Linked DNA regions of Caenorhabditis elegans. The protein of the gene in region 1 purifies or fractionates together with the protein of each later gene. This does not show direct contact. Each region holds a gene or a part of one and is shown on either strand. Other genes may lie near its edges. The genes, in order: nol-14 and art-1.

Region 1 (8,060 bases):
AATTGGGAAAGTTAGATTTTTTAAAAATTAATATTTTGTAAGCTTTTTTGAAAGCCAAAATTTGAATTTTTCTGAAATAAAAATAAATTTGAAAATTCGCTGAAAATTAGAATTTTTCTAATTTTTATATTTTAAATGACTAATTTCAAATTTTTTGAAATGAATTTTAATTTTTTTAAGTTTTAAAGCTTTTTGAAGCTGAAATGACCAAAATTGCTTCTAAAATTTTTTTGAAATGCTGCAGCTTCATTGCGTCCACCGAGATTTCACCGTTGAAGAGTGATTTCCCTCGATTTTTATTAGTTTTTCGTCGATTTTTCTATTTCAAAATGATAACAATTATAAAGTAGACTGAACCGAAAGTGGAGAAACAAAAATTATCGGAAACCGTTCGGTGGAAATGCATAACGAACTGTTTGAAAATAACAACTGAATTTTCGGATTTTTTAAAATTAAATTTTTATTTGTTTTTCTCATAACCTGCAATGATAACGTTTATAGAGCAAACTTTTCTCGTCATTTTAAGATATAATTCGTCTATGTACCTGTTGAAAGAACTCAGATCGAACTCTTTTTGTGAAATCCAGTTATAATTTTTCGTTAAAAAGAGGAGCTAAAAGTTATTAATCTGAATTAAAAAGAGTCGAGACAGTGAATCTAATTAATATTTGGTATTTTATTAGAGCAATACACGTATTAAACATTTTATCATGGGTTTTTCGGCTCCAATTTTGTTGGCACAATATTTTATTTCTTGCCACATACTACTGTACGTTTGGGCTCAAATAAGCCATACAAAGTGCTGAACTATGAAGAATAATGTTTCAACATTACATTACTTACAAAAAATCAGATTGAAAGCAATGTTTTCAGTCTTTCTTGGCTTTTTTCAACATAACTTAGTATTACCATCTTATTCTGTGCCTCAACTTAATCGTTACAAGTTTGAATTCTTGAGAAAACTGTATTTAAAACCTATTAAGGCTTTTCAAAACTCAAATATATAAAAACGGTATCTTCTTAAGCTTTCGTTTTTAGTTTCCAATACTTTCCTTTCAGTAAGGCTTGAAATTTTTGGAAGCTTCACTGCTAGTTTCCCACTTCACGATTTTCCAATTTCAACTTGTTAAAACTGGCAAGATCACAGAAAAAGCCACACTTCCATGATAAAATCACAGAAAATTAAAGAAATTGGGCTGAATGTCTCAGATTTAGTGATTCTGGCACATGATCATTTCTCAAAACTTCAATTCAAAAATAAAATTGTTTGTGACCAAACCTTCATTTCTTATTTGACTTTCAGGCTATATATTTAATTATATTTCTTAATTGTCTTCAAATTTTTTTGAGATTTCCCCACTTTATGTAGTGAAAACAAAGATAAACTTCTTATTTTCTCAATTTTTCAATAAATTTAACCTTTTGCAGCAAGGTATTCTCTTTTTAACTGAGAAAACTATTTTAAAAATTCATTTCATCATCTTTCCTTTGCTTTCTCAAGAAAATTTCATAGAAGAAATGAATTTTTTCCGCAAAAATAATTCAATATTCAGAAGTGCGCCAGCACGCGAAAGGCGCATCGGTGAAACGCGCAAGCAATCTCCCTCCCCCTTCGTTTCCACCCGAGGAGACCGTGTTTCCTAAAAAAAAAATTTCAAAATCGCTGAAACTTAAATTTTTTTGGCTCTCGGCAATTTTTTTTGTTTTTTTTTAACCGTTTTGTATGTGCAAAATTGATATTTAATTTGTTAAAAATAGAAAATTCGGAAAAAAACTTGATTTTCGTTTTTCAATCGGTGGTTTTTCGGTTTTTCAGAAATCTATTAAAAAATTATTTTTCGGAAAATTGCTTTTAAAAAATTTCAAGCAGTTTTATACAAGAAAAAGTGAACATTTTATCATTGGCAATTTTGTGAAAATTTAAAATTTAATTTTAAATTTTTCAAAACTAAATTTTCAAAAAAAAATCATTTTTATTTGAACAAAATTTTTAATTTATATTATAAAATTCGATTTTGCCAGTTTTTTTTTTAAATATTGAGCGTTTTTAAGCAAATTTTTTTAAAGAGAAAACCAAAAAAAAAAACCAATTTTTTGCTCAAAAAAACAAATTTTATAAATTTACCTTCTCCTCAAAGCATAACATTTCCGTGTGTGGCTTGGAAATCGGGAATCCATTTGTCGCGAATTTCTCACTTTTCTCTGTAACTGCAAGCAGAAGAGCACTTCGAGCAAATGCGACCAGCTCGGGGACGTATCTGAAATTTATTTTATTGAAAACAATTTTCAACTTTCGGATTTTTCGTAAAAATGGAGTTCGGTTTTTTTTTTAATTTCAAAATTTTGATACGCTTCGATAATTCGGTTTTTTAAATTTTTTTAAAAGAGACGAGAGATTTTTTAAAAATAGAGAAATGACCGGAAGATTTTTGAAAAATTGCAATTTTTTCTAAAAAATTAATTTAAAAAAAAACGGGATTTTTGTATTTTTTCAATGTTTTCTGATCTAAAAATTGCCAAAACAAAATTTATATCAATTTTTGAAAAATTCGCTTTTTTTTAACATTAAAATGGAAAATTAATGCAATTATTTGTTAAAAAATGAACTTCAGAAAAAAAAATCAAGTTATATTTTAAAAAATTGCTTTTTTGAATTTTTATAGTAATCTTTTTTCGATATCGAAAAAAATAGATTTTTTTAAGCGACAATTCTGAATTTTAAATTTTTTGAGTTAGCTTTTGAAAATAATATTTTTGGTGGTTTTGGCTTTTTTTTTCGTTACTTTTCCTATTTTATATCAAAGCTTTCAGTATTTTTTTCAAAATTTGCCTATTTAAATGTTCGTTTCCAAGTATTACCTCTTGGATTCAGACACATATTCAACAATAGCATTAGCCAATTGAATTTGTTTAGCCAACGCATTCAAATTGGCACATTTCGCCGAGCAAAGTGCTTCAGTTGCCAAAAAAAGAGCCGGAACCACTACAGGATGCCAGGAATCGGCAACTGGGAAGAGGCCGGAAACAAGACGAATTGCAGAGATTAATCCAAATGACACTGGGCTACTCTTCTGTTTATCCTGGCGGCCTTTCCAGTGTTGACGGATTAGAGCACGCACACATCGGACTCCGTATTGAATGTCGAACTGCAAAAAACAATTTGAAATTTTTTTCAATTGTTGAATTTTTTGCGTTTTTTAATCTGAATTTTTAATATTATTTTCTTTATTTTCAGGATTTTCCATATTTTTTTTCTGAAATTTTAATGATTTTTTATATAATGTTTCTTTAAAAATATTTCCATGATCGTTTCCTATTTTTAATGATTTTTTTCTTAAATTTTCATGATTTTCCTGGTTTTTCTTTTTTTTTTCGAGACTGATTTTCAAAAAAAAAAGGTTTTAATTTCACATGATTTTTCTCAAAAAATCGGGGCTTTTTTGCAATTTTTGGGTCAAACATTCGGGTATTTTTTTTAATTTTTTGGCCAAAGTTTTTGGAATTTATTGCAATTTTTAGGTCAAAAAATTCGGGGATTTTAAAACATTTTTTGGTAAAAAATTCGGGACTTTTTTGCAATTTTTGGGTCTAAAAATCGAGACTTTTTTGCAATTTTTCGGTCAAAAATTCGGGGATTTTAAAACATTTTTTTGTAAAAAAACCGGCTTTTTTGCAATTTTTAGGTCAAAAATTCGGGGATTTTAAAACATTTTTTGGTAAAAAATTCGGGACTTTTTTGCAATTTTTGGGTCTAAAAATCGAGACTTTTTTGCAATTTTTAGGTCAAAAATTCGGGGATTATAAAACATTTTTTGGTAAAAATATCGGGACTTTTTTGCAATTTTTGGGTCTAAATATCGAAACTTTTTTGCAATTTTTAGGTAAAAAATTCGGGGATTTTAAAACATTTTTTGGTAAAAAATCGGGACTTTTTTGCAATTTTTGGGGTATAAAAATCGGGAATTTTTCAAAATTTTAGGTCAAAAATTCTCGAATTTTTTCAATTTTCAGATTAAAAAGTGCGGTAATTTTTCAGCTTTTCCATCCAATCGCTACCTTCATCAACGCATGCATAGTTTCCTGCGCTAAATTCATTTCCTTCACACTTTCCGCTGTCAATTCCTCCTTCGACATATCATCAAACCATCTTAAACACAAGAGGAAAAGCTTATTCAGACGCTTCTTATTTCCTTCTTTAAGGCTCGGATGATGACATTTCACGAGTCGTTCCAGCACTAAATCCATCGATTCCGAGTGTTTTTCCAGAAGAGCACAGAATTTTTTATAGTTTTTCGGCATTTCGAATACGAATGGCAGAGTTTCAGCGGGTTCTGGAGCAGATTTTTTCGCTTTTTTGACGACTTTTTGGGCTTCCTGAGCTTCCTCATCATCGGAATCTTCTTCCAGCTCATCCTCATCTTCCAGTAGATCATCCAGATCCTCTTCCTCATCTTCTAGATCCTCGTCATCGTCAGATTCATCAGAACCATCCAGATTTTTCTTTAAAATCCTGGATTTTTCCACCGTATCCTCATCGATCAGGCCACCTTCATCGTCAAATTTGACCTCAAATCTCGAATTTTTCGCCTGAACTTTTCTGGCGTCGGCCTTCGATCCAGCATCGATATCAACGTCGGCATCGGCTGATAAATGAGATTTTGCGTTGAAAAATGCATTATTTTTCGAGATACGGGCGGCCTCGAGAGTTTCCAGACGTTCTTTTTCTTTCAGAGCTTCTTCTTCTTCGGATAGCTTACGATCTGCTGGGGTGGCACGAGCGTCGGCTTCGGTTTTCAAGGTGATTGTCTGGAAAAATAATAATTTTTGGATAAAAAATGGAATAAAACCTATTTTTCTTGATTTTTTAGGCGAAGAAACAAAAAAAAAGCCTTTTTCTATCATTTTTTAAACAAAAAAATTGGCTTTTTCTTAATTTTTTTGTCGAAAAATAGTTATTTTAAATTGTTTTATTTTGTAAAAAAACGACTTTTTTAAAGTTATTTTTCGGCGAAAAATTTATTTTTTTAAATTAAAAATTGCCTTTTTCGTCATTTTTGTCAAAAGAAAAACCGACTTTTCTCGAATTTTTGTCAAAAAAATTGACTTTTTAATGATTTTTCGTCAAAAAAATTCTCAGTTCAGCTCAATTTCTTTCGCGATAAGAAGTTAAATGTTTTATTTTTCACTTCAAATTGCACAAATTCCGAAATAATTTTACAGTGTTTTCTCTGATTACAAAGCTAAAACTTGGATTTCTTCAACTTTTACAGCAAAATTAATGAAAATTTCCAATTTCCATAGCAAAAATGGTTAAAAATTAGCATTTTCAGATCAAGTTTTTTGGGTTTTAGGTTTTCCACTAAAAAATTGTGAAAAAAATCGATTTTCACTCTAAATTTATAATTATCTTTTATCTTAAAAATTTGGAGAAAACCGGGATGTTTCCCGTACCAATTTGTCGTAATCATCTTTTTCCAGCGGCTGGCGCCCGGTCGGCCTAAATGAAGCCTTCATTTTGCCCATCAAAGCCTGATACTTGGAATCCAACGACTCTGTCATCAGCTCGAGCTCATCCTTCTGCTGTTGCTTCTCGTGACGCGCCAGCTTCGTTTTCGCAATCAAATTCGAAATCATATCCTCTCGGCTGATTTTTTCGCGGACGTGCTCCTCGGCGGTCTTCTCTCCACCACCGAAATGAGCCACTTTTACCATATTTGAGCCCAAATTTCCCGGCTCTTCATCGTCATCCGAGTCGGAAATCATCGATTTGTCGTATTTTTCAATGTCCGAGAGCGCTTTTCCCTTGTGAGTAAGTACTGAAATTTACTTTATTAAAATTTTTCTCAATTTATTTCGGAATAAACCTTCTTCCTCCTCATCTCCATCATCTGTCAAGTTGAATTTCGATGCTCTTTTATAATTTTTGACTCTTTCCTCTGTGAATCTCATCGCGCCCTTCTCCTCCTCGCTTTTTCCGTCCTTTTCGCCGAGCCGTTTGTCGACAATTTTGCTAATCTTATTTTTCCGGTCATATTCTACGCCTAGCGTCTGTTCACGTTGCTCGTGAGCTCGTTTTCGTGACGCAGTCGGTGCTCCAACTTGTGCGCCCTTTTTCCGGCCGAGAATCTGCGAGAAAATCGATTTTTTCTTCAAAACTCTGAAAAACTCACGTCATGCTTGGATTTGTTGAATTTTAGCTCGAATGGATTGGTTTTTCGTTGCTTTTGCTTTTTATCAACACCCATGTTTGCTGAAAATGCGAAAAATTAGGGGGGAAACAGAGAAAAAACCAGGGGTATCCAGGAAAATTTAAGAATAAAAATTGGGAAGTTTGCGCGTCAAGTCGTGCGCATTGTACGCAACGACGCCTTTATTTTGCAAAGTTTTGAAAATTGAAATGTTTTAATTTATTTTTTTATGCACGTTTTGCTGAAAAAGTGGAAAATTTGAAGAAAATCAAGGGAAAACTAGGAAAAATCAGTAAAAATCAGTGAAAACAGAGAACATAATGAAAAAAATTTGCGCGTCGGGTCGGGTGCGCTGTACGCAAACACTTCACACTTTTGAAATTTTTTTTTTATTTTTGCGAATTTTTGCGAGTTTATTCCCCGCGGGCCTGCGAAAAATTGCGTAAAACTTTAATATTTTGACCGGAAATTTTAGATTTCAAGTTTTAAGCTAAACTATCTTTGTCCTTTCACCTAATTCTTCCCTATTTCACCCCCAAAACAGCTATTTTTCCCTATTTTCAGATGGAGCAAATCGGAGCAGCTCTCCAGCAGACTCTGGAGCCGGATGCTGCGATTCGCAAGCGTGGAGAAGAAGCGCTCCGCTCGCTGCAATCAAATCCAGGCTATATCATTCAAATTCTTCAACTGGTGGTCAACGAACAGCAACAAATTGCTCCGCAGATCCGAATCGCCGCGGCTGTCGCTTTGAAAAATTTTGTGAAGAGAAATTGGGTTGGAAAATTTGAATAAATGCGTGAATTTTATATTTAAATTGTTTCAGGGCCCGGCACCAGAGGTAGAAATGGGCCAGGAAGACGAGGAGCAGTTCAGAAGCATGCTTCTCGAAGCGATGTTCAATACAAAATCAAATGTTCAGGAAATCCTGTCCAATGCTCTGTATCTCATCGCTCAGAGAGATTTTCCCGAAAAATGGCCAGATTTGGTTCCATATTTGTCGAAATTCCTGAACGGAGCGGATCTCAATCACCTGGTGGCCTCGCTGGCGTCGATGGAGCAGATTTTCCGCAAATTCCGATTCGAATCCAAGTCAGCAGAGCTTTGGAAAGAGCTGAAGAAGTGTCTACTGAGCGTGAGTTGCGTTTTGGCTCAAAATTTGGCTAATTTCAGCTAAAATCCCCAATTTTGGCCACTTTTTTACGTCGCAGCCGTCGGAAGTTGAATTTTTGTCCGCTTTGACCCTAAAAAATGACCAAAATTAGACATTTAAGCTAGCTAAAGCTGGCCTTGTTTTCCGAAAAATCGTGAAAAATTCAACATTTTATGATTTTTTAGTCAAAAATTTTAACTAAAGCAAAAATGAGGAATTTTTGGCGAAAATTGATAATTTTCCTATAAAAATGGACAAATTTTCAAAATTTTTGAGCCAAAAAATTGAAGAAATCTGAATGTCAGTCTCGAATTTGGACCGAAAAACTGTTTTCTCCCCAGATTTTTCAGTTACAAATAAAAAGAACCGATTTTTCAGACCCAAGAGCCTCTAACTCTGTTGCTACGGAACATGATGGAGGTGGGACAGCGGAAGGATCAACTCGGAGCCGACGAGATCGCCCAATGGCTCCGAGTCTTACTTCTCATTGCAAAAGTCTACCATTCTCTGTGCTCACAGGAGATTCCGGAATACTTCGAGGATCATCTCAAGGACTGGATGCCACACTTCTTGCATCTCGTGCAAATCGACGCGCCGACGCAGACCTCCAACTCGGGAGAACCTACAACTCTGGACGAGCTTAAGCACGAGATCTGTGAGATCTTCACGCTCTACTCGCAACGCTACGAGGAGGAGATCTCCGAGTTCGTGCCCGACATCAT
Region 2 (3,927 bases), on another chromosome or scaffold:
ATTTTTCATAGTTTTTCTCACAATTTGAATCCATTTTTTATCGGAAACAATTGAAAAATATTTCGATTCAAATTCCGTGGCAACGAGAGTTCACAAGACTACAGTACCCTTCAAAGACGCGCACCAACTTGAAATTAACGAAATTGCCGTTTCGAGACCGTATCTTTGGCGGAAAAGTCATAAAAGTTCGAATCTTTGTAATTACTAACTTCGCAAGTGCTTGTCATTGGTTCAGGAGCTGTAAGACTCGAGTAACAATGTGCAACTGGACAGACACGCATCTTTTTGGTTGATTTTTTGAGGCATTTTGTGCAGAATGTGTGCAAACAGGGAATCAACTGGAAAATTTGAATCCGTATGGCTGAGAATAATGCAATAATCTCACTTGAGTTGCTTCTTCACATGGTTTTAAATCATTGCAAACTGCACACCAAATTGACATCTTTGGATAACTTGAAATATTTCGAAATAATCTTCTTTCTACATTGAAGTCGGGAACATTTTAAATTTTCGATGTAAAAAACAATATCACGTTATTTTTATTTAAACATTTTTTCTCTTTTATTAACGCTTTTTTTTCACCAACCAAGACTTGCAACATTTTTCAAGCAAACATTTATCTGGAGAAATTGTCTATTTAATAAATTACTGATTGAAATAAGCGGATTGGTAATAATAGAACTGCAAGAGTACATGAAAAATACAATAAATATTCGGCGCAAATGCGATAATTTAGAGAACAAATGGAACGATGGCCTTGCGATTTTTTGGGTAATCTGGGAACTCCTTGAGGTAGTTGCGGTGCTTTCCTTGGGCCCAGATTGCCATTTGAGCGAATCCAGCGGTGGTGAAGATGATTGCTAAATTTTAAGATTATGAATAAAATCAATTATATTTACAAGTTTTTTATTTACCTGGAAGAGATTGGACCATAATGGAGAAGAAGATCCATGATGCGACCTCATATGTGTAGTTCGGGCACGAAACGTAGTTGAAGAGGAGAGAAAGTGGATTTCCATCAGGCTTTGGAATACGACGTTCGCGGGTTCCAGCTGGACGGAGGTTGCGGAGAAGAATGTGGATCGAGAGATTTCCAAACTCCGAAATCACGAAACCGGCAAGTCCGAAATAAACCTGAAGATCTCCGAAAGCTGGTGGTGTGAAAAGTGGGTGATTGACAAAGTAGGCGACGAAGGCAGCGAATCCCCAGTAATAGGAGCAGTTCTGAAAATTCAGGAAATAGAAATTTGTTTATCGATTAGTGAATTTTATTTTTAATCTTGTCCGTTTCAAAATTCTCTACTAAAACTACCTAAAGTTGTACGAAATATTCTAACTTTGAATTTTAGGCATATTCAACGTTTTTACTAGTTTTTTTTTGTTGCTATATTTCAGATTGAAAATTGCCGTAGAGCGTAAAATAATTTTTTCATCAACGCAACTTTTGCAACTTACTATTAGTGTCCCTTATTACTTTTTACTCAATTGTTTTTATTTTTATTTTTGAAACATGCCTTGACTAAATTGAACTGTGGCATAGTCGAGTTTCCGAATCTATGGATGAATTGAGTTTCGAACAATCTCTTGGCGTAGTGGAAGCTCCATGCAAAGAAGGCGATTTGTACTGCTGGATGCATGGTAGCATTGACAGCGGCTGTAATGTAAGATATTGTGTGAAATAATATTAATCCGGCTCACCTTGTCCATAAATGAAAGTTGGTCGAAGATAGAAAAGCGGATAAACGAACAAAGGTCCAGCATACTCAGCCATGAAGACAGTCTTCCAGGCGATTTGTGGTCCGAGATCTCTTACATATAAAACTGCTTTTTGAGATGAAAGTCCAAGATCGGAGAGTTTTTGGTCATCAGCCAATGGTTTACCCTTTGGTTCGACACGGAGAGCCTGACGTTCTTCGGTGAGTTTCAGCTCTGAAATTATTTAGCTAATAAATCATAAATTTCGATTCACAAACTTTTCTGGGCAATTCGCTTCTTGATAGCTTTGATCGTTTCGGATCCAGAAATTCCCTCGAGGGTGATGATGAGATTGTCCGTACGCTTTGCGTCATAAACCTCCAGAATCCCACTCATTCTGAAAATTGAGGTTTTATATAAACTGAAAAAAAGGAATTTTCACAAAAACTGGCTCTATTCAGAAAGAAACGAATTTTTTGCAGTCCACTATTATAAAAATGGTGTGATTTTCTTTTACGGGTCGCTATCAATTGAACTGATAAAAAAAGAAGAGAAGCATTGTGAAAATGCCAATTGAAACGAACGACCTCGAAATAAAATTTACTAAATGCATTAAAAAATAGAAATTATTATATTTTCAAAGATTTTTGTCTGCCTTAAATAAGGGAAAAGCGATAATATTTAAACGTTTTTTGAAATAGCCTCATTATCAGGTGATTCTTATTCAACTGCTCGAAAAATCGCCCTTCTCCGTCAGAACTTGTTGATAGTTTAACGGCTGGCACAACATTTATGGCAGTTTGGTAACAAAACTGAAAAGTGAAGTATTGATATAATGAGCAGAGACATTGAGATTTGTAAAACATAGAAATTGGAAACTACAACCTTTATTTGAAATTTTGAAGAAATTTTATGTGAAAATATACAGTAGTAGGAGTAGGAACAACGGGATTCTTAAGAATATAACGACAAAGCAAGAAATGAAAAATTGTCTTTAGTAGGAATTGTGTGGAGATTCAGAGACGCGATTCAGGTAGTCACTGGGGAGCAGCGAGAGCAATGACACCGCAGGCAGCACGAGCTCCGGCGTTTCCAGTCTTCTTGGACTCTTCTGCCTTGTCTCCGACTCCCTCGCCTGGAAAGTTTACTAAATTGATTTTTAATTCGAATTGTTCATACCGAGGTCGTCTTGTCCGGCATGAACAACCATAGATCGGCCAACGACAGTGTTTGGACCGTAAAGCGTGACGAGCGTGTCGGTGAGCTTGATTTTTGCCACTCCATCGGCTCCAGCTTCCACATTTCCTAGATCGCCTACGTGACGGATCTCGGACTGAAAAAATATTATAATTCAAGCGATATAAAAAATTTCCATACTTTTGGTCCACCATGAGTCTTTCCAAATGGATTGAAGTGTGGACCGGCAGAAATGCATCCGTTGGTGGAATCACCATATTGGTGAACGTGGAATCCATGAAGACCGGGAGTAAGTCCCTTGATTTCTCCTTCAATAACTGCCTGGTCATTTTCGGACTTCTGAAAAAGAATACAAATGATTTAAGCGGAAAACTCGGCTAACCTGTGTGATCCAGATAGTACCGGTAACAGTTTCTCCACGAAGAACAGCGACAGCACGGTTCGACATTTTTTGAGCGGCTTCGACCTGTAAATTCAACGAATTTTCTAGGGAACACTCTAAGGAATATCACGGCAAAAAGTTTAGAATTAGAAAAAAACAGGCAGATCACAGTCGATAGATGCAAAATTAAAAAAGAAATGGTAAACACGAGAGAGAGAGAGAGAAGGTGGAGCGAGATGAAATAGACAACATTGTGTGTGTACCCGCCTCTCGGTCGCAGAATTTTGTAGCTATGTCTCTAGTTTTTGTGGGTTTCTGATGAAAATGATGATAATTAAGGTAAAGGCAACAACACAACGCCATAGATCAAATAGGCCCAAGTTGCGAATGACGAATGTTTCGGATAAGCACTGACCTGCGGAAAAATCGCGTTGGAGACCTGAGTGAGAAGATTCATAAACATCACCGATCTAAAATACTGAATCTACAACTTTGAATAATAAAGAAACAATGGAAAGTATGATTATGACACTGATTAAAAACCACAAAACAAAAACACAGAAAAAATAAGCGGCTCACAAATTCAACGTCTCCACTCTTGAAAACTCGAAATTGAACGATTATTTCAAGAAAAAGGATTTTTAATAACTAAA

Evidence for each region.
Region 2: the proteins of nol-14 (region 1) and art-1 fractionate together in Caenorhabditis elegans (co-fractionation; one large-scale study listed by BioGRID). This does not show direct contact.

What each region holds. Positions count from the first base shown.
Region 1 is NC_003279.8:322,045-330,104, reverse strand, and holds the start of nol-14 (Nucleolar protein 14), read right to left. Parts: upstream 6,251-8,060; 5' UTR 6,246-6,250; coding exon 6,171-6,245; intron 6,127-6,170; coding exon 5,865-6,126; intron 5,817-5,864; coding exon 5,452-5,816; intron 4,807-5,451; coding exon 4,057-4,806; intron 3,147-4,056; coding exon 2,860-3,146; intron 2,259-2,859; coding exon 2,126-2,258; intron 1-2,125. Other genes in the region: xpo-2 (Exportin-2), read left to right, coding at 6,753-6,962, 7,012-7,320, 7,717-8,060.
Region 2 is NC_003280.10:6,970,144-6,974,070, forward strand, and holds art-1 (putative very-long-chain enoyl-CoA reductase art-1), read right to left. Parts: upstream 2,093-3,927; 5' UTR 2,092-2,092; coding exon 1,974-2,091; intron 1,930-1,973; coding exon 1,699-1,929; intron 1,655-1,698; coding exon 1,515-1,654; intron 1,225-1,514; coding exon 915-1,224; intron 861-914; coding exon 733-860; 3' UTR 602-732; downstream 1-601. Other genes in the region: C15F1.5 (RING-type domain-containing protein), read right to left, coding at 210-338, 386-442; sod-1 (Superoxide dismutase [Cu-Zn]), read right to left, coding at 2,733-2,830, 2,875-3,028, 3,073-3,231, 3,275-3,358, 3,690-3,737. UniProt on the Caenorhabditis elegans protein: Catalyzes the last of the four reactions of the long-chain fatty acids elongation cycle. This endoplasmic reticulum-bound enzymatic process, allows the addition of 2 carbons to the chain of long- and very long-chain fatty acids/VLCFAs per cycle.